5 linked regions of the Nothobranchius furzeri genome follow. The protein of the gene in region 3 interacts with the protein of the main gene of each other region in a biochemical or structural test. Links are inferred from orthologs where the notes say so. Each region holds a gene or a part of one and is shown on either strand. Other genes may lie near its edges. The genes, in order: ube2z, ube2j2, uba1, ube2wb and ube2c.

Region 1 (4,210 bases), on a different chromosome or scaffold from region 3:
TAAATCATTCTCCGTTCTGGGTTTGATGTTGTACCTCTAAATGCAGCAGCACTTTGTTTATAATTCAGTTGCACGTTCTGCTTGTTTGAGCAAATAAATGAAGCTTTAAGAAGTTTTATTTCTAGAATGTATTTATTATGATTGTCATTAAATTGAAGTTGGACAGATGACGTGATTATGACTTGAAACTTCAAAGTTAAGGACTTGGACTTGACTTGGACTTCCACATCATTGACTTTGGACTCTACTTCGACTTGGACTTGACTGAAAAGACTTGTGACTTACTTGTGACTTGCAAAGCAGTGACTTGGTCACACCTCTCCTGGAAGCTAAAGATGAGTATATTAGAGCATCCTGGTGCAATAAGCTAAACTTTTATGAACGACCCGATTAGTCGACTAATCGCCAGTTTTGTTGGCGATTAGTCGACTAATCGTCAACAAAACTGGCGATTAGTCGGTTATTAAAATAGTTGTTTGTGGCAATCCTAAAGATGTCGCAGCAAGAAGAGACGGAGAAAAATGAAAATACCAAAAATAAAACGGCCAGGGCTGCACATAAAATATATTTTCTACAATTTTTTAAATATTTTTTAATAATTATCTATATTGATGAATATAAAAACATTTTTAACGAACTGCGCTGCTCTGGGCGGCTGCATGTTGGAGTAGCTCTGTTGACTGTATGTAAATTTTGCCTTTTCTTGGGCATTTTTTCTTCTAGTTTCTCAAGAAAATCTGTATTTGTTTTGACATTTTACTTTTCCGTTTCTGGTGCTGTGAAGCTTGGAGGATTTTTACTGCTATTTTTTAGGTTTTCTCAATTTTTGAGCATTTTTTATGATGCGTAACCATGGCAACAAGCTGGTTTACAATCAGGAACAACTGATTAACATTGGAAAGGCTGAAATAATACCTCAACTGAAGCCACAAATCCCAAATGAGCTAAAACGCAAGAAGCGTGGGTGCAGAGCGGGAGCTAAACAGAGACGGAGAAAGAGGAAATTCAAACAGTCTCTTCCATCGATCATAATGGGCAATGTGAGATCACTGCCCAACAAGATGGAGGAACTCCAAGCCCTTTCAAGGACTCAGCCAGAGTTTCGGCAGTTTCGGAACCGCTGGAGGAGATAATGCAAAGAAGGATTCTCCAGAGAATCAAGAAAATGATGGACAACCCTGAGCTTTCTCTTCACAAGACTGTCCGACAATGAAAGAGTGTCTTCAGTCAGAGGCTTCTTCAGTTTGGCTGCAACACTGACCGCTACTGGAGATCCTTCCTGCCAACAGCCATTGTAATATACAACAACTCTTTGATGACTTGATTATTATTATTATTCTGAGCTACTACAGCAATCAATTTCCCTCTGGGATTAATAAAGTAGTTTTGAATTTGAATTTGAATATTTTTCTATATCGTCCAGCCCTACACTAGCGTTTTTTTATTATTGCAGAAGGCATTCTGCTTTCATTTCTGTTGTGATCCAATGACAGGTGTGTCGGTGCTACGCGTTTCCTTACCTTTTACAATTTTATTTATAGTCATATTGTAACCTATGCAATCTTTTAGCACAGGGGAGATCCATGATCCCATCAGCAACACATTTTAGTCACTAATAAACCAGGTTTCCTTGTGAGTGACGTCAGAATCAGGTTCTATTTCCTGGTTTTACTTCTTTGGTTAAACACTTTCGGTTTTCCCCAGCATGAAATGACTTTTGGGTCCTTAAACACAGTCACCAAAATGATTTCTTTATTTTGGCAAAGGCAAACTCTACAGAAAATATTCTTATTAAGCTAATAATCGTTTTGCAGACCTCAGTGACGGTTAGTAGGAAAGCCTTGGAGCTGAATTAAAGGCAAGGTAGCTTATAGCACATTTCAAACAAAGGGCAATTCAATATGCTTTACAATTAGCATGAAATGTCACAACAACAACAAACATGAGAACCCAAATAAATTTATAATTTAGAGCTAAAAGGAAAAGACAGAATTAAGGTTGAGTAATCAGAGATTAGACAGCGGAGACGATGCAGCACAAGAAACAATTCATTCAAAGGCTAATGAGTATCTTATATAGAAAAAACACACATGATAGAAAGGATCCAGAAATAATTTAAGGCTTGATTAAAAACAGAATTTACCTCTTTATCCTCAAGATGCACTGCTGGGAAGCCTTTTCGTTGTCCCAGTCTGTGCTGAGGGTCGGATCCCAGGAAGTGGCGTGGATCTGGGACAAGAGGCCCCCTCCTGCCACCCCTAGCCCCACGGTGGGCAGAGAGGAGGACGCGTGCACAATCGGAGACACTGCCATAAAAGGTGGTGATGACCCCGTAATAAAGGTGTTTCCAAAGCCGACAGCAGACGCGACAGGAGCCAAAGCAGTTAGGCCACTCTGTGCGGTGGTGGCGGGTGGAGGAGAGGCCGAGTTGGCGCTGGCGTTTACACCGCTTGCTGCTGAGTGTCCCTCGGGAAGAGAGTTGGCCAAAGTCGGCAGAGGAAAGGTTCCACTGCCTTGTTCGGTGACGCCTAAACCAAAGGCACCACTGCCACACTCCTCTCCAAAGCTATCCGCCATGGCTCACGAGCTAGCAAGCTAGTGTAAATCCGCTGCTGCCTACCTTGCAACGCTAGGTGTTAGCCTCATTGGTAATAGAGTCTGAAGTGACCTCCGAGTGTTTCATTTCTCATTGTGATCAGAGAACACGCAGGCAGGTAGGAGGCATGGCAGGGCTTCCCGCGGATGATGGCTACGTATTATTTGCTAAACTGTATTTATTCCTCCCGGGCCTCCAGAGAGTTCCGTGTTTAGCAGAGCCGCAGCACCCACCTGGTTACAGACATGAACACCAAAGGTGTTGTTAACTCGTTGGTTATCTGAGGAAACAGGATGTTAAATGGCTATCAACTCAATACATAAGCGCCGTTCGAGCAACATACCACAACTTCAAGGGTTTTTTCCTCATGTCAAGTTTGTTGTTACGGTAACGACGTAACATCCGGTCAGGACTTCAAAGTAAACGTCCAATTTAAGCGCTTTACTTCATGTTAGACCTACAGGTGAACCTCGAAAAACGAGAATCTGGAGCAAAAATGCATCAGTGTCAGTAATACAACCTAAAAGGTGAAACGATGACACAGATTCGTTCCACGCAAATCCAGATGTTTCAGCCTTTATTTCTTATAACTGTGATGATTACAGCTGAAAACCCTGAATATCAGACTGTGATCATACGTGATTACGCAAAGCATTATGGGATGTGTGCGGACATGTTGGAAGCTTGACAAGTGTAAACAAAGCGTGAAACAAACAGTACTGTCGCAGAGAAGAAGTGGATTTGGGTGAAAGAAAGTGTTAAACAACATTATAAAATCCCTAAAGGATGCGGAATAAACAGGGATATGTTATAGAAATATGTCGGGGACCGGAATGTGGACAAAATCAGACTTATAAATGGTTTGGATCCATATGATAAACCTAAGACTGGAGCACCAATGACATATTTTTTATCGCTGCAGTTCTGCATAACGAACATTTTCGGCTATCTTGTTTGTGGTGTGATGTAAATGTCCAGATGAGAGGTAAACATTTTATTTGCAGGATTTTCTAGTAAAACAATCAAAATTGTTATCCTATAGAAGAAGTGTAGCAGGAGAAGTTGTGTTGTGTGTCAGCGCGCCCGCATTAGCTTACCGGTATGCGAGTGCAGCCTCTGTGTGTGTGTGTGTGTGTGTGTGTGTCCGTGCGTGCGTGTGTGTGTGTGTGTGTGTGTGTGTGTGTGTGTGTGTGTGTGTGTGTGTGTGTGTGTAGACAAATAAAAACTTGAATGTATGTGGACATTTTAGCATAACCAGATAACAGAGTGAATGAGTCTTTGAAATATAATGCTTAATGTTTTATATAATCATGTGATTGTCCCATATATGCTGGATTGCACTGAAATTTGTGGATTACATATAAACATACACTAATCCATTTATGATTTTACAAAAAATTAGCAATCATTAGTCTAAGTAGTCAGAGCTCCAACCAATGCATTATTGGCTGTGGTACAAATATTAAAATTGGGCGATCTGGCTGATTATAGGACTCTACAATTGGTCTATAAAGCTCATATGAAATCAACTATCTAAGCCAGTGGTTCCCAAACTTATTTAGCCGCGCACCCCCTTCTATGTCCCGACCATGTCGACGCCCCCCCCCCCCCCCC
Region 2 (2,581 bases), on a different chromosome or scaffold from region 3:
AAAGTACACTGGTCTGACACCGTGAGAAAGACTTTACAACCTGATGAAGTTACTCACATTTGAGGATCAAACTACTTTAATAGACTTCGCCTCAAACACGAGAAAAGCTGAAGTGAACGGATTCATATAAAAATAAAAAAACTAAACTATCCTGAAAAGGCTTAGAGCCAACGCTGAAGTCAGACAACACCTAGGGGACTCAGATGATAATTTTCATGAAATTTCAAGCTAAATAAAGCTTTTAATGAATTAATTTTTTATATATTATCCTACAATAATTCTAAATAAAAACATATGAAGTCTTGACAGCTGTGATATTTATGATTTCGTCTGCTTTGGCAAATAGTTATCAGATTTAATAAATGCGGCGCGTCTTTGACTGTTAAAAATTCCGTCCTCCGTTTTCAGGACGGCTACTAAATGGTGAGAATTGTTTTGAAGGATTTAGGCAGAAATCTCAACCCATGAGCCAAGTTTGTTCCCAGGACTAATATAAACCACTGCAGCACAAAGTGGATCACAACCGTTTTAATAAACCCCTCCGAGCCCCCGTTGACCCTCCCACTCCAATCCAACCTTAGACCGTCCAGAGAGGGTTCGTTTCTGTCTTCCAAAGTCCACGGTGGTAGTCGCTGTTGTGGAGGGGGTTAGCTCAGGGGGGGAATATTCCTCCTCCTCATAATGTGTTTGTATAGTTTGGAGTCATTTAGCTGGCTTGCTCCAGGGAGAAGGGGACTGCTCCTTTTACTCCTGGGCTATGCTCCTCAGAACGTATTTGACCGTGTACGCAAATGCTGCAAAGCCTACGATCACAAACAGATTGGCTAAAGCTCCACCTAAAAGTCCGTGGTTTCGATTGGCCTGCTGCAGGCCAGGGGCGGGGTTAGCACCCCCCACGGGTGCTGGCCCTCCGTTGAGTGCCTGGAGCCCATAGTGGGCATGTTGAGGGTCTCCATCAGGTACCACGTCGGGTAAAGGAAGGGGCTGGGAGCGGACACTTAACTCCTCTTGGGCCTTCTGTTTCTGCCTGATTTCCTGGTGAAGGTAAAGAGATGGGAGACTTTGAAATCAAATGTCACAAAGATGACATTTAAGTCCTGAAATGTGGTGCTTGCTTTATACTTACTTCCACAACATCAGGAAAGAGCTCACAGAACACTTTGTCTTTGAGGTTAAAGGCCAGGCTTTGGGCTGAAAGTTGTCTTTTCTAGAGAGAAAAAAACACCACTGATTTGTTGTTACTTTGCTACACGCCATCCTCTCACCTGTTCCACTCACCGTGTAGTCGGATGTCTCAATGCTTCCAAGTGTTGGTCCTTTCTCCACCATAAAGCTGAGCAGACCCGTGAGGATCGTTGAGACTGACCAAGCAGGATTCCACGTGTCCGGATGGAAGTCTGTGATGGACAAACATAACCTGTGGACAAACAGAGAAAAACAGAACTGAATGAAAGCATCTTCAAAAGCTTCCGTCTTCAATCAGTGACACAAAGGGTAGGGATTCACCTCGTGTTGCACTTGAATCTCCCATTTGGTGTTATCATATAAATACTCGGTGGCTTAAAAGGAAATTCTCTGGGAAATATGAGTTTTCCGTGATAATATCCCCCTGAAAACGGACAAGACAAAAATACAAAATATTAAACAAAGTTGGAGAAAACACATTCAATTCGGGAAACGTAATGAGAAATACTTACCTTCATATGGAGTCTTCTCAGGACCTCTGACTACATAGTGCCTACAGAAAAAAAATATATACAATGAATAAAACCATAAAACATACCAAATATCCTAAAAACTGGGATTTTTTTATTATTATTACCAATTGCCTAGAAACACACTAATTTGTAATGCACTTTCCTTGAAAAAGGAGTATTTTTCTTTGAGTCTGTATTTATAATAAAAAGAAAGTTTTGGATTAAAGTGATGACGTGTATTTTCCCTCACAGGGGGCAGGACATACCTAAATCATTACAATCCAATCCAATCCAATCCAATTTTATTTATAAAGCGCATTCACAAGGCATTACAACCAAATAAGGCGCTGCACACTAAAATGTTAGTTAGCAAGCAAGAGGCATTTTTGTTTTTGAGTAAGACCTTACCAACGGATGCCATTACCCCAAAATTCCACTATCTCCGCTCCGCTCCGGCACGAACTCTGCAGCAAAAACGGTCCTGTTGTAGTCAGAGCTGTTCCACTACTGCGGCCGTACGGCGCAGTGCGCCGCCCTCCGTTCCGCCATCCGGCAAAAATAGGATCGATTCTATTTTTGCCGGACGCCGGAGCACCTCCGCAGTCAATGGACAGAAATCACAACCGCCCAACAGGAAAGGGAGCAAGCAATAAAATAAAATTCCGTTATTTCACAATAAATCGATAACAAAAAGCGTTTTTCTTTTCATATGCACAGGTTTAACAACTTTTAACAACTATCAATGGCGGCTGAAGTTTAAATGCACAAAAATAAGCCATAAATACAGTTTCCACTATCAAAGCAGTCACCCTTTGTTGATCCAAACGCTGCTGATCTCTCAACACAAATGATGGGCAGATTAAACAGTTCATTTCGATGCTTCT
Region 3 (3,518 bases):
TTTCCTCTGCAGAAATCCATCTGCACCTCCATGGCCGAGCCAGAGTTCATGCTGACAGATTTTGCTAAATTTGACCATCCAGGACAACTTCATGCAGGCTTCCAGGCGATCCATGCATTCCAGAAGAAACACAGCCGCCTTCCGGCACCTTGGAGCCAGGTATCTGTCCGACTGCATAGTTGGAGGTTTAGTATCTAACGTATATTTTTGATTGACTGGCTCCACAGGAGCTATCCTGGAAGCCTTTGTAATGGCTAGCCCTGGTGATAACTCAGCAGAATGCATGGGCAGTGCCAGTGTGTATTTGATTTAGTGAGATTGGTAAATTGCTGAGCTTTGTGTTTTCCAGGCTGATGGTGAAGAGTTACTGACTTTGGCCAAGGAGGTGAACTCTGCTCAGACGGGCTCTGCCAAAGTGGAGCAGCTGAACGAAGCGCTCATCAAGAAGATGGCTTATGTCGCCGCCGGGGATCTTTCTCCTATCAATGCCTTCATCGGGGGCGTGGCTGCACAAGAAGTGATGAAGGTTGGAGGAAAATGCATAAACTAAGAGCTGCAGAATAAAAATCCAAAACCTTTTAACCAGACTTGAATGTTCAAAGTGATCAGTACAAATAAGTTTGTTAAATATTTTACATTCTGTGTCCTGTCAGGCCTCTACGGGGAAATTTATGCCTGTGATGCAGTGGCTGTACTTTGATGCTCTGGAGTGTCTGTCTGAAGGGGACGACGTCATGCTCACAGAGGAAGAGTGCTCGCCTGTCAGTGTTCAGAGAATATTAAAGTGTTTTTCACTGAAGACAAAACCACACGACTGCTGAGGAAAACCTCGGTGTTAACCTTTTTTTATTTTTACGTCTCTGCTTTTCTAGAGGAACTGTCGTTATGACGGGCAGATCGCCGTGTTTGGCACAAAGCTTCAGGATATGCTAGCCAACCAGCGCTACTTCCTGGTGAGTCACAATAGGGACTTTTAAACAGGAAGTGCCTTTAAAAATGTCTGAAAACGGTGGCACTACAGTAACTTTAAAAGTACACAGACTAATAATAATTTTGTATTTTTTGGCCTTACATGGGTTAAAGCAGGAATTGAGTTCTCCGTCGTGGCGACGGAAATCTGTCAGTTGGAATAATCAGAAAAAAGTTCAGTCAAAATCTCTTATTGCGCTCGCTTGGGTTTAGTAGTCTCTCGCTCTCTCCTGTTTCTAATTGAAACGCGCACCGGTATTGTTGAAACGTGTTTCTGCACCGCCCAAGCTGCAAAAACGCGTGCGCTCATTGCTCGCTCCCACGGTGCGCACAAACAAACTGCGCCCGCACCAGGCGCTGGGATTCTAACAGAGCCAATAAAGCTCTGATATCACAATGAGAGTTAACGTAATGAGCGGAACCAGGACCCAAATTCCCGGTGGGCCGATCTGAGGTCGGTGTTTTTAGTTGTCTCTTTGTTTTTTTCGGGCCTGTGTTCAGTCATGACGCTCTGCTGATCACCTGCTGATGAGAGGATTTCTCCTGTCAGTGGAACAGGTGAGCTGCTGAACAAGCGTTAGTTCCTAGAAACACTGTCTATGCCCAGACTAGTGACCTGTTATTTGTAATTTTATAATTAATATTAAGGGAATGCACTAAACCCACAAATGATGGAAGATGAGATTAAATATTATTAATCATATTACCATCAAATGTAAATAAGTATAACAGATAACTAATCTTGATGAAAAAATTATATTAATTTTTATTTTAATATTGATTATATTTAATTTCTACGGTGTGGATGTCTGTGAACATTACAGAATATTCAGATTGGTGTAAAGAACATGTTATTAATAACGGGTCATGATCTAAAGCTGGTCTGAGGTATAAAACTCTGCCCTGGGCCTAAAGCCCTGCAGATATATTTAGTTTCTATGAACACCAACAACAAATAAATAACAGCAGCTGGATTCTACTTTGTTCCTTAAATTGTGTCACGTAGTTTTTCAAGTTCTGCAGCTCACACGTTCATCATTGAGCCCTACCAGCTGATTGGTTCTTTTGGTATCTAGTGCAGTTCTGGTACTGAGCAGCATGGATGCATTAGTGGATTTCACTGTAGTCTGTGTTCATAATGGATTAAAGGACAGGAAAACATTAACTCAAATATGTCATTATAATGAACATGTATAGATACTTCATCATACATAGCTGCCAGCCTGTAACTACTTTCCCCCCAAAAATGCACCAGACTGATGCGTTTAAATATAAAATGTCCAATGTTTTTCCGGGGGGGCATGCTGCAGGTATGTATGTAGAGAAATGGCCCTTGTAGCTTGACTCACTGCATCCTCTGTCTGAAATCCTTCCAGGTGGGAGCCGGTGCCATCGGCTGTGAGCTGCTGAAAAACTTTGCCATGATTGGACTGGCGAGTGGGAACGGCGAGGTCATTGTGACCGACATGGACACCATAGAGAAATCTAATCTCAACAGACAGTTCCTCTTCAGACCCTCAGATGTTACTGTTAGTATCACCGACTGCTCAGTAGCTCAGATGTAAAGCACAAACAGGTGTCAGTCGTTTATGCACTACGTCTGGATGTTTATTTATTAATCATCACCAAACGGGCGCTAGCAATTGTTTAAATTAAAATATCAGAGACATCCAGACTGCTGCCGTTTTTTTATGTTGGACTACTCACTGTTACTACTACTACTACCACCACATACACACACACACACACACACAGTAGTCACATTAAATCAACAGGGTCTTTCCACTAAAGAATATGCTTTAAAACGGGCTGAACAGCACATCCTGAAATGTCTGGAGTTGTAGACGCGCTCGGTCAAGGAAATCCAACTGCGTCCAGCAGTGCAGGACATGGACCTGTTTGTCTGTAGGAGTCTGTCTTCATAAATGCATCAATTCTGTTAGGGACAGAAACGAAACTGGTTGCTGAAAAATGGCATCAGGTGTTCTGCACTGATGTGTCAACATTTTAAATATCTGGCTCAGTAAACGTCTGTTTGTCTGAAGGATCATCGAGTTGTTTCTGCAGCCAACAGTAACTCCTGGTGTTCTGTTTGATGCTTTAGTTCAGTTAATAGTTAAACTGCTGATGAATACTCCTCAATCATGCATCACTAGCAGGAAGGTGTGTTGTTACTTTTACCTCTTTAGAATTTACTAAATGTTGCATTATTAAAATAACATTCTGAAGTTCATAGATGACTTGGCTGCGTTCACATCTAGTTTTTATATATTTCAACAGAAAATGAAGAGTGACACAGCTGCTGCAGCGGTGAAGAAGATGAACCCCTCCATCAACATCACAGGCCATCAGAACCGAGTGGGCCCCGACACGGAGAAGGTCTACGATGATGACTTCTTTGAGAGCCTCGATGGCGTCGCCAATGCACTAGACAATGTTGATGCACGTAAGATGAACTTTAAATTGCTTAAAACATGCGCACGCTGATGAAGGAATGCAGTTTGGCTTTTTTTCTGTTACAAACCATCTTTTTATAGCTGCTTGTTTGT
Region 4 (3,518 bases), on a different chromosome or scaffold from region 3:
CCATAAGGTAGACACAAAAGTTTTTCCACTTAAGTTTAGAAAAGTGGTCCTCTGGGCTTTAGTGCCCCCGCTGCAGAACTCTTAACAGATAGGTGCCAATATCGGATCATCTAGTGATGCTGAATTCAAACATTACTGTCAAAACATCATAAAAGAAAACTGAAGCTAAGACAGTGTAAGAAATGAGTGACCCTTTCAACTAGGCTGGATAAGGCTTCAGAGAGTGCAGAATGCAGCGGCTAGATTCCTGACAAACACCTCTTGACGCTGTCACATTTCACCTGTCCTTGCACGCTTGCACTAGCTGCCGGTTAAATATCGTATCCAGTTTAAGGTCTTAACCTTAGTTTACAACATCCTGAATGGTCAAGCCTCTGCTCATCTGTCAGAACTGCTCATGCCTCATGTTCCACCCAGAACCCTGAGATCAGCAGATCATTTACTTTTGTACATCCCAAAAATGAAGTATAAATCTCGTGGGGAGCGGGCCTTTGTGTTCGCTGCTCCTAAACTTTGGAATGCTCTCACCCTTAGTGTTCGACAGGCCCCAGAACTGGGTTGATTCAAGTCTGTACTGAAGGACTACTTCTACTATTTAGCTTTTGATCAATGACCAAGCTTTTATTGTTATAGAATCTTCCCTGTTGAAATGTGCTAACCTTTTAGCATTGTTTTTATTGTGACTTTGTTTTTACTCTAGTATGTTTCTTTTACATTTTTAGGTTATCCCTTTTATCTCTTTTATGATATTTATCTTGTTTTTATCTTGGGGTTTTCCTTTTACTACTACTGTACAGCACTTTGGTCAGCTGTCATGCTGTTTTTAAATGTGCTTTATAAATAAACTTGGTATGGTATGGTATGGATAAAGATCCACAAACGTGGATCTACAACAGCTTTTCTTTGAGCCTCTATTGGCGCTTACACATTAGCGTAGGTACGGGCCCATAAGGTACCGAACGGCACCGGAATTTGGTTTCACACACCGGTCCGATTAGCGTTTTCAGTGCCGAGGCGACTTTTTCCCAGACCTTCTCCCCAGCGGTCAGACTGGGACCGAGGCGACACTACGGACTGACTGGCCGGCTGAAATTACGCCTACCGCCTCCGATCTGCGAGAAGAATCAGCCAGCCGGGGGTTCCTGCATGTGCGGTTCATTTTCATGCTGGATGCTGTTGAGTTAACTTCTGTCTGTTGCACGGAGCTGCCGATCCGGAGCTGCTATTAAGTGTGGGAGCGGGAGAAAAGAATAGCTTTGTTTGAGTGTGTGTGTGTGCATGCATGCTCCCATTCTCCGCATCGGAGCTCTTGCCCCTCGCAAGCAGACAGCTGCTCAGGGGAGAAATCAGGGGGTGGGCGGCACAAGATTATGAGGGGACACAGAGTAAATTAATAAAATAATGTGGTTCAGAGTCTCCAAAAGCAACACAGCTCATGTCCGCCTTTTGGTACCTTATGGAACGGACTTTCCCGCGCGTATTAAGCGCCCCCCACAGGCTTGGGGATTTCCGCATCTTGAGAAGTTCCTCGGATTAATATGTAAACACTACACCGACCATACCAGCCCAAACTCACGCCATCCTGCCCGACCAAACCCCGACCGTTACGACGCTAGTGTGCAAGCGCCATATAAAGCACATGACACTTTGTTGGGGTCCACAATGCCCTAGGAGCTCTGATAATGAATATTAAATGAGCTGCATGCTGATTGGCTGGTTTAATGGCTCAATGACACTGCTCAAGCTAGAATCTCTGTACAGCAGTGTACAATATCCATATTATTCAATAGAAAGCTACAGATCTATCTGGCATTCATTATAAGTTTGGATATACCCTGTACATCCTGGAACGTTACATGTGTTTTCCCTTTGTTTATAAGAACATTAGCAGTAGCTCGGGCTAGCATTTTTCTGCAGTTAGCATTACTGAGATCAAAGTTTATTCATTGCGGATGTTGAAGTGGGTTGGAGCATGCTAATGTAGGGAGGTGCGTCTATGCTTATGACGCGTTAAACCAGTTTTTGTCAGGATGAACCGTTTCTCCGTGACCATTACAACTTTACTAATTTACAAGTTGCAGACTTTTTGGTACGCTACATAGACATCTCAAGTTGCCTCTATTCAACAACAAGGTAAAAGTGGTTGTTGAATTGTAGGACCCATTTAAATATGCGAACACACACACACACACACACACACACACACACACACACACACACACACACACACACACACACACACACACACACACACACACCCTTTGCTCTTACCTGAGGTGAATCAAAAGGATATCGACTACTAAATTTGAATAGCAGCTGAAATTTCTCTCCTTCATAGAGTGTACCGGGCGCTCCCTCCATATCTACAATCCACCTAAAAACAAAAAAGGACAATGATGACTAAAACATTCCCCCGGTGCCCCAATAAAGAACACAGGTTACCCAAATGTTTACTGTCGAATATAAACGTTACAGGGGTGGTAATCATATTTTCTGAACCATTGGTATTGAAGCTGCTTTACCAAATCAGCACAGCAAGTTGGCCATTCCATATAAACACAGTCAAAAGACTCTCATACCTCCGTCGGCTAGGCCACGCCCCCCAATACGGGAATGCGCATTGCCAGAGTAAATGGGAGAGCACAAATCAACAATCACATTTTTCTATGCCTAAACATCTTTGGTGTCTGTGACTTCAAATGGTGTTTTTTCTTTTTGGGACTCTGGTAGTTTGTCCTTAAGTTGAAGTGGTAGCAGCTGGCTGTTTCTCCTTATCTGATATTAATATTATATGTGCTTGGTCTCGTCTTGGTAACAAAGGCATTTTTACTTGGCCTTTAAAAATGGGACCCAATGCTTGACACAGCTTTAAAGGGTTGGATTGGGGGGTTAAACTACGAAATAGTTCCCGAGCGCAGCCGTGTCTGCAGCACACCGCGCCTCCCCACACAAGTGTGTGTGACAACTAGGGCTGCACGATATTAGGAAAACCGGCTATATTCGATAACAATGATTAAATTGCGATAACAATATTACTTGCAATAAATAAAAACTTATCTCATGAACAAAAATAATCAAAAACAAAGAAGAAAAAAAAAAACGAGAAAAGCAAAAGATGTGAGGAAAGGGAAAAAGATAATGAACAAGAAAAGGTAATCAGTGGATCCCAGGAAAAGCAGAATCAGCAAAAAGAGCAGAACAAAGCTAACTCATGTGTTTGCTAACCATCAAAATTAAGTACTGTCCGCCTCAGGGGCGGGCATCTAATCTATGAGAACCCACCCTTTTGGCCAAATGGGTGAAGAGCTCTATTTGATTTGTTAAAAAAAACATCAGGCTTCCATTTGATTGACAGAATGCATTATGTGTAGCAAACATTTGAGCTGATCATTCATTGCGATATTTATCTGTTCTTTGTGATATGCATATTGTGCAAGCTGATATCGCGATAACAATATATTTACGATATATTGTGCAGCCCTAGTGACAACTATGGGACTTTAATCTTTAATATGGTC
Region 5 (3,988 bases), on a different chromosome or scaffold from region 3:
ACAATAGGCAGCTACAGCTTATAAGCTTGACTCTCCCATTTCCAGTTAGAACTGACAAAGCTCCTCGGATGAGAAGCGAAACGTCTTCAAACCAAAGAAGTCCAGTCACTTTCATTTGAATCCTTTTGGGTTACCATGACCTGGATGACAGAACCTTCACCAGCAAAGTCACAAAAGAGAACTGCTCAAAAGTACCCAAACACCGATTGTATTAGTAGCTGGCCGTTCTCTGGGTTCTGCTGGCTGCCTGAAAGGTTGTGGGTGTACTTACCACCTTGGTTGCTCCACAGTTCTGCTGCGGTCGTGTTCAGAGGACTCTCGTTGTTTGGTTCTGGGGAATACAGAAGGAATTGTGTGCTGCTCTCTGAGCTGTGCAAAGATGGCTCTGATGGATCCATCAGGTTTTAGCAGACAGCAAACTGGTGGTTCCGGTTACCTCCCAGTAGACTCTGGATGGACAGCAGGATAGAACGAACATCGTACAGTGCCGACCACTTGTCCTTCAGGATGTCGAGACAGATGAAGCCCTGATCGTCCACATTGGGATGGAAACACGGAGTGACGAACTTTACCCGAGGAGCATGGTACGGATACCCAGCTGGAAACTCCAGAGACAGACGGTACCGGAGGCCTTCGTACACCTGGGCACACAGGTAAGAGTGTCGGGTGAATCAGAGCAGCAAGTGGAGGGGTCAAGTTTTAGATCGTGCTGTATTTATGTGGTCATACTGTTCCTTGGGCTCCATCGATGGTTCCGACCCATTTGAAGAGATTATCCGATTCTGGAAAAGCAGAGATGCCCTTATCACCCGACATCTACAGGAGGGAGGAACGCACAGGTCACATGACCTCAGAAATATCAGGTTTTGTTGATTTTACTAATGTCAGGTATGTTGGTATTGATGCTCCTGTGTGAATGATCAGACCAGAGAAATCAATCACAGAAACAAACAAATCATTGATAAGTGTCTGGATGAGAACGGAGCAGCTGACCTGCAGATGACTAACGCCACCTGTGCACTTCAAGCTAAACACTCATCCTAACCAGCACCAACTCTGCATTAGTGTTGAGGCAGGAGATCGTGTGACTATGGGTGCATCAATCAATGAGTAAACACCACCACCCAATGAGGATGAACTTGTGCAGGTCATCAGGTTCGTTAACATTCTGACTAACAACTGTCCTGTGACCCGTTAGGATCGTCCATCTTTCATTTTGTTATTGAAACCAAAATAAAACTATAGATGTGAACTTACCATGAGAGTCATCAGCTCCTGCTGCAACCTACACACACACACACACACACACATACGAATTAAACAAGTGCAACACAGGTCCAGAAATAAGCTGCAGTAATAAGATCAATAACAGAACAATTTGTTTCACAAATAAAAAAAATTCAAGCACCTGATCAGTTAACAACTCAAACTTTCCTGTTTCATAAAATTCATTTTTGTGATGAATAAAACCAGGAGAGATCAGATTTCTTCAGTTTTAGGATCACTTCATTAGCTAAAATATCCAGAATTGAGTTTCAATTTTATTTCCAAATCTGAAGGATCACGCTTTTTCGATTAATGATGCTCTTGTTCCAGATGTTCCCAGCAGAACACTTGGCTCTCAGGCTGCTTTTTACTTGTGGCTTCAACTTTCCAGCGGTCCTAAAAGTAGTAAGGAGGCAGAACTTCCAGTTCTCAGGCTCCTCTGGTGGAACCAGCTTCATGTTTCCACCACATCAAGCAGAAGCACCTTTGCGTAGACTCTAGGTTAGTTTAGATTATCCTGGCACATCTCTAGTTATGCAGCTGCAGGCTCACATTGCTGGAGAACTCACTGGGTTATTGATATTTTATTGTCCAAAGAAGAACCAAGTCCAGCAGAAACGTAGACCGACAGATGGCGTTTCATGTGTGTTATATATCTCCAACTAAAGTTTAGAGCAAAACATTCACTCCCACTCAGAATTAACTGCTTCTACGGAGCCGCTGGTTCTGAACAACATCACACACACACACACACACACACACACACACACACACACCACCTTAGTTCCATCAGTACACAGTGTTTAAGTTATTCTTGTTTAAATTGTGTAGAAGTACATTTCTTTAACTATTTTAAACCTGACTCTCTCTCTTTCCTTGGAGTTAGTACAAAGTGTTGCTTAATCCCTGCAATAAAAAGTTCCGATCTTCTGAACAAAGATCCATCAGATTGATATTTCATATTTCTATGGAATCTCACATTTTATGGTTCAGAAGTAAGATGTAAACGACCCATTCTTTACACCTGTAAGGTTCCGGTTCTGTAACGGCCCGGAACTCACCGTTTGGTCACCGAGCCTCTGGTCGCGTTGCCACTGCTTTCGCTGCCTTTCAGAGCGGCCGTGGAGGAAGCTGCAGCCGCGGCGGGGTCCATATTCTGGGAGGCCATGAATGCTGCTAGTCCGACTCCTGCCGAGGACACAGATATAACATCAGACGGACTGAGCAGGGGAGGCAGGCCGAACCGAGCCGATCAAATCCAACCGAGCGGGCCGTAGCTTCTGTAGCTAACAGCAGCTACATGCTAACTCCCGGAGATTTCAGAGAAAACGCTGAGCCGTGCCTCGTGGTACCGGTCAGAACCACTGGCTCTTTGTCTTCATGCTAACACATGATTACATTTATAGCCATACTATAGCTGATTTAAACACTCACCGGTGTTCAGTTCGTGGTGGAAGGCTGGATTCTCTAGATTCAAACCGATTCTTCTGCCGCCCCCAGTTTAAAACGACGTTTCCTCACAAACAGCCAATCAGTGTCTGACTTTCAAAAAATGAACTACCCTCATCGAACCAATGAGAAGATGGTGATTAAAAAGCTACACTGTAATTGGCCAGTAGAATCAGCCAGAACCCGCCCCCACCATCTAGGCGTTCACACAGCGGAAGTCATTGGTTCAATTTGTTATTTTAAACGCGTTTTTTAAATAAATGAACTTAAAATCTAAGTTATTAAACACATTTTTGTTTACCCCTCCTCCTACAGGGATGTATAAAATCTCCTAGAAGAGTCAAGAGCCTAAATCAAGTTAAATGATGGATCACAAAAATTGGAGCTTGGGAGGATGAGTACACCTGCAGAGGGTCAGAGGGGAATATATATATATATATATATATATATATATATATATATATATATATATATATATATATATATATATATATATATATATATATATATATATATATATAATGAAGTGGCTGATATCAAGAAATCCTACCAAGAACTAGAAAGAGCTGGTCTGAAGAATAGCACAGAGGCACTCATCATGGCTGCACAGGAACAGGCCCTGAACATCTACCACACCAGACAAGACCCAAGGTGTAGAACCCTGAGACAATCCACCACATAACTGCAGGGTGTAAGATGCTGGGAAGGAAAGCATACAAGGAACGCCACAACCAAGCTGCTGGCATAGTGTACAGGAACGTCTGTGCAGAGCATGGACTGGAAGCCCCAAGGTCAAAGTGGGTAACACCCCCTAAGGTGGTTGAGAACAAGAGCCAAGCTCTTGTGGGACTTCCAGATCCAAACTGATAAAATGGTGATGGAGAACCATCCGGACATTGTGTTGGAGGACAAACAACAGAGGACAGCTGTTGTGGTTGATATAGCGATACAAAGTGATGTAACCTCAGGAAAAAGGAGCATGAGAAACTACCTGGGCCTCAAAGAAGAACTTGAGAAAGCCTGGAGAATGAAGACATCGGTGGTGCTCATGGGCATCAGGGCAGTAACCCCCAGACTGGAGGAATCCCAGGAAAACCATCTCAGTCCAGAAAAGTGCAGCTCTAGGAACAGCTAAGATACTGCAGAACCCTCAAGCTCCCAGGCCTCTGGTAGAGGACCCAAGCTTGGATGAGACCACCCGCGGAGGGTGAGATGGGAATTGTGTGTGTGTGTGTAAGCCCATGTTTATTTTTTCAAAGCAACAATAATACCA

The links.
Region 1: of the proteins of uba1 (region 3) and ube2z, one has a biochemical effect on the other in vitro, tested with the Homo sapiens proteins (3 studies listed by BioGRID). The link is inferred for Nothobranchius furzeri from reciprocal best matches to the Homo sapiens genes UBA1 and UBE2Z.
Region 2: of the proteins of uba1 (region 3) and ube2j2, one has a biochemical effect on the other in vitro, tested with the Homo sapiens proteins (2 studies listed by BioGRID). The link is inferred for Nothobranchius furzeri from reciprocal best matches to the Homo sapiens genes UBA1 and UBE2J2.
Region 4: of the proteins of uba1 (region 3) and ube2wb, one has a biochemical effect on the other in vitro, tested with the Homo sapiens proteins (5 studies listed by BioGRID, with this or other methods). The link is inferred for Nothobranchius furzeri from reciprocal best matches to the Homo sapiens genes UBA1 and UBE2W.
Region 5: of the proteins of uba1 (region 3) and ube2c, one has a biochemical effect on the other in vitro, tested with the Homo sapiens proteins (5 studies listed by BioGRID, with this or other methods). The link is inferred for Nothobranchius furzeri from reciprocal best matches to the Homo sapiens genes UBA1 and UBE2C.

What each region holds. Positions count from the first base shown.
Region 1 is NC_091758.1:15,254,693-15,258,902, reverse strand, and holds the start of ube2z (ubiquitin-conjugating enzyme E2 Z), read right to left. Parts: upstream 2,806-4,210; 5' UTR 2,578-2,805; coding exon 2,144-2,577; intron 1-2,143. UniProt on the Homo sapiens protein: Catalyzes the covalent attachment of ubiquitin to other proteins. Specific substrate for UBA6, not charged with ubiquitin by UBE1. May be involved in apoptosis regulation.
Region 2 is NC_091743.1:52,925,558-52,928,138, reverse strand, and holds the end of ube2j2 (ubiquitin-conjugating enzyme E2 J2), read right to left. Parts: intron 1,739-2,581; coding exon 1,698-1,738; intron 1,610-1,697; coding exon 1,507-1,609; intron 1,418-1,506; coding exon 1,279-1,417; intron 1,208-1,278; coding exon 1,127-1,207; intron 1,036-1,126; coding exon 745-1,035; 3' UTR 514-744; downstream 1-513. UniProt on the Homo sapiens protein: Catalyzes the covalent attachment of ubiquitin to other proteins. Seems to function in the selective degradation of misfolded membrane proteins from the endoplasmic reticulum (ERAD).
Region 3 is NC_091755.1:24,213,253-24,216,770, reverse strand, and holds part of uba1 (ubiquitin-like modifier-activating enzyme 1), read left to right. Parts: intron 1-12; coding exon 13-159; intron 160-349; coding exon 350-526; intron 527-653; coding exon 654-761; intron 762-872; coding exon 873-953; intron 954-2,345; coding exon 2,346-2,498; intron 2,499-3,249; coding exon 3,250-3,415; intron 3,416-3,518. UniProt on the Homo sapiens protein: Catalyzes the first step in ubiquitin conjugation to mark cellular proteins for degradation through the ubiquitin-proteasome system.
Region 4 is NC_091747.1:53,051,285-53,054,802, forward strand, and holds part of ube2wb (probable ubiquitin-conjugating enzyme E2 W-B), read right to left. Parts: intron 2,375-3,518; coding exon 2,272-2,374; intron 1-2,271. UniProt on the Homo sapiens protein: Accepts ubiquitin from the E1 complex and catalyzes its covalent attachment to other proteins.
Region 5 is NC_091743.1:77,062,399-77,066,386, forward strand, and holds the start of ube2c (ubiquitin-conjugating enzyme E2 C), read right to left. Parts: upstream 2,807-3,988; 5' UTR 2,701-2,806; intron 2,455-2,700; 5' UTR 2,435-2,454; coding exon 2,328-2,434; intron 1,286-2,327; coding exon 1,258-1,285; intron 817-1,257; coding exon 730-816; intron 642-729; coding exon 437-641; intron 332-436; coding exon 272-331; intron 1-271. UniProt on the Homo sapiens protein: Accepts ubiquitin from the E1 complex and catalyzes its covalent attachment to other proteins. In vitro catalyzes 'Lys-11'- and 'Lys-48'-linked polyubiquitination.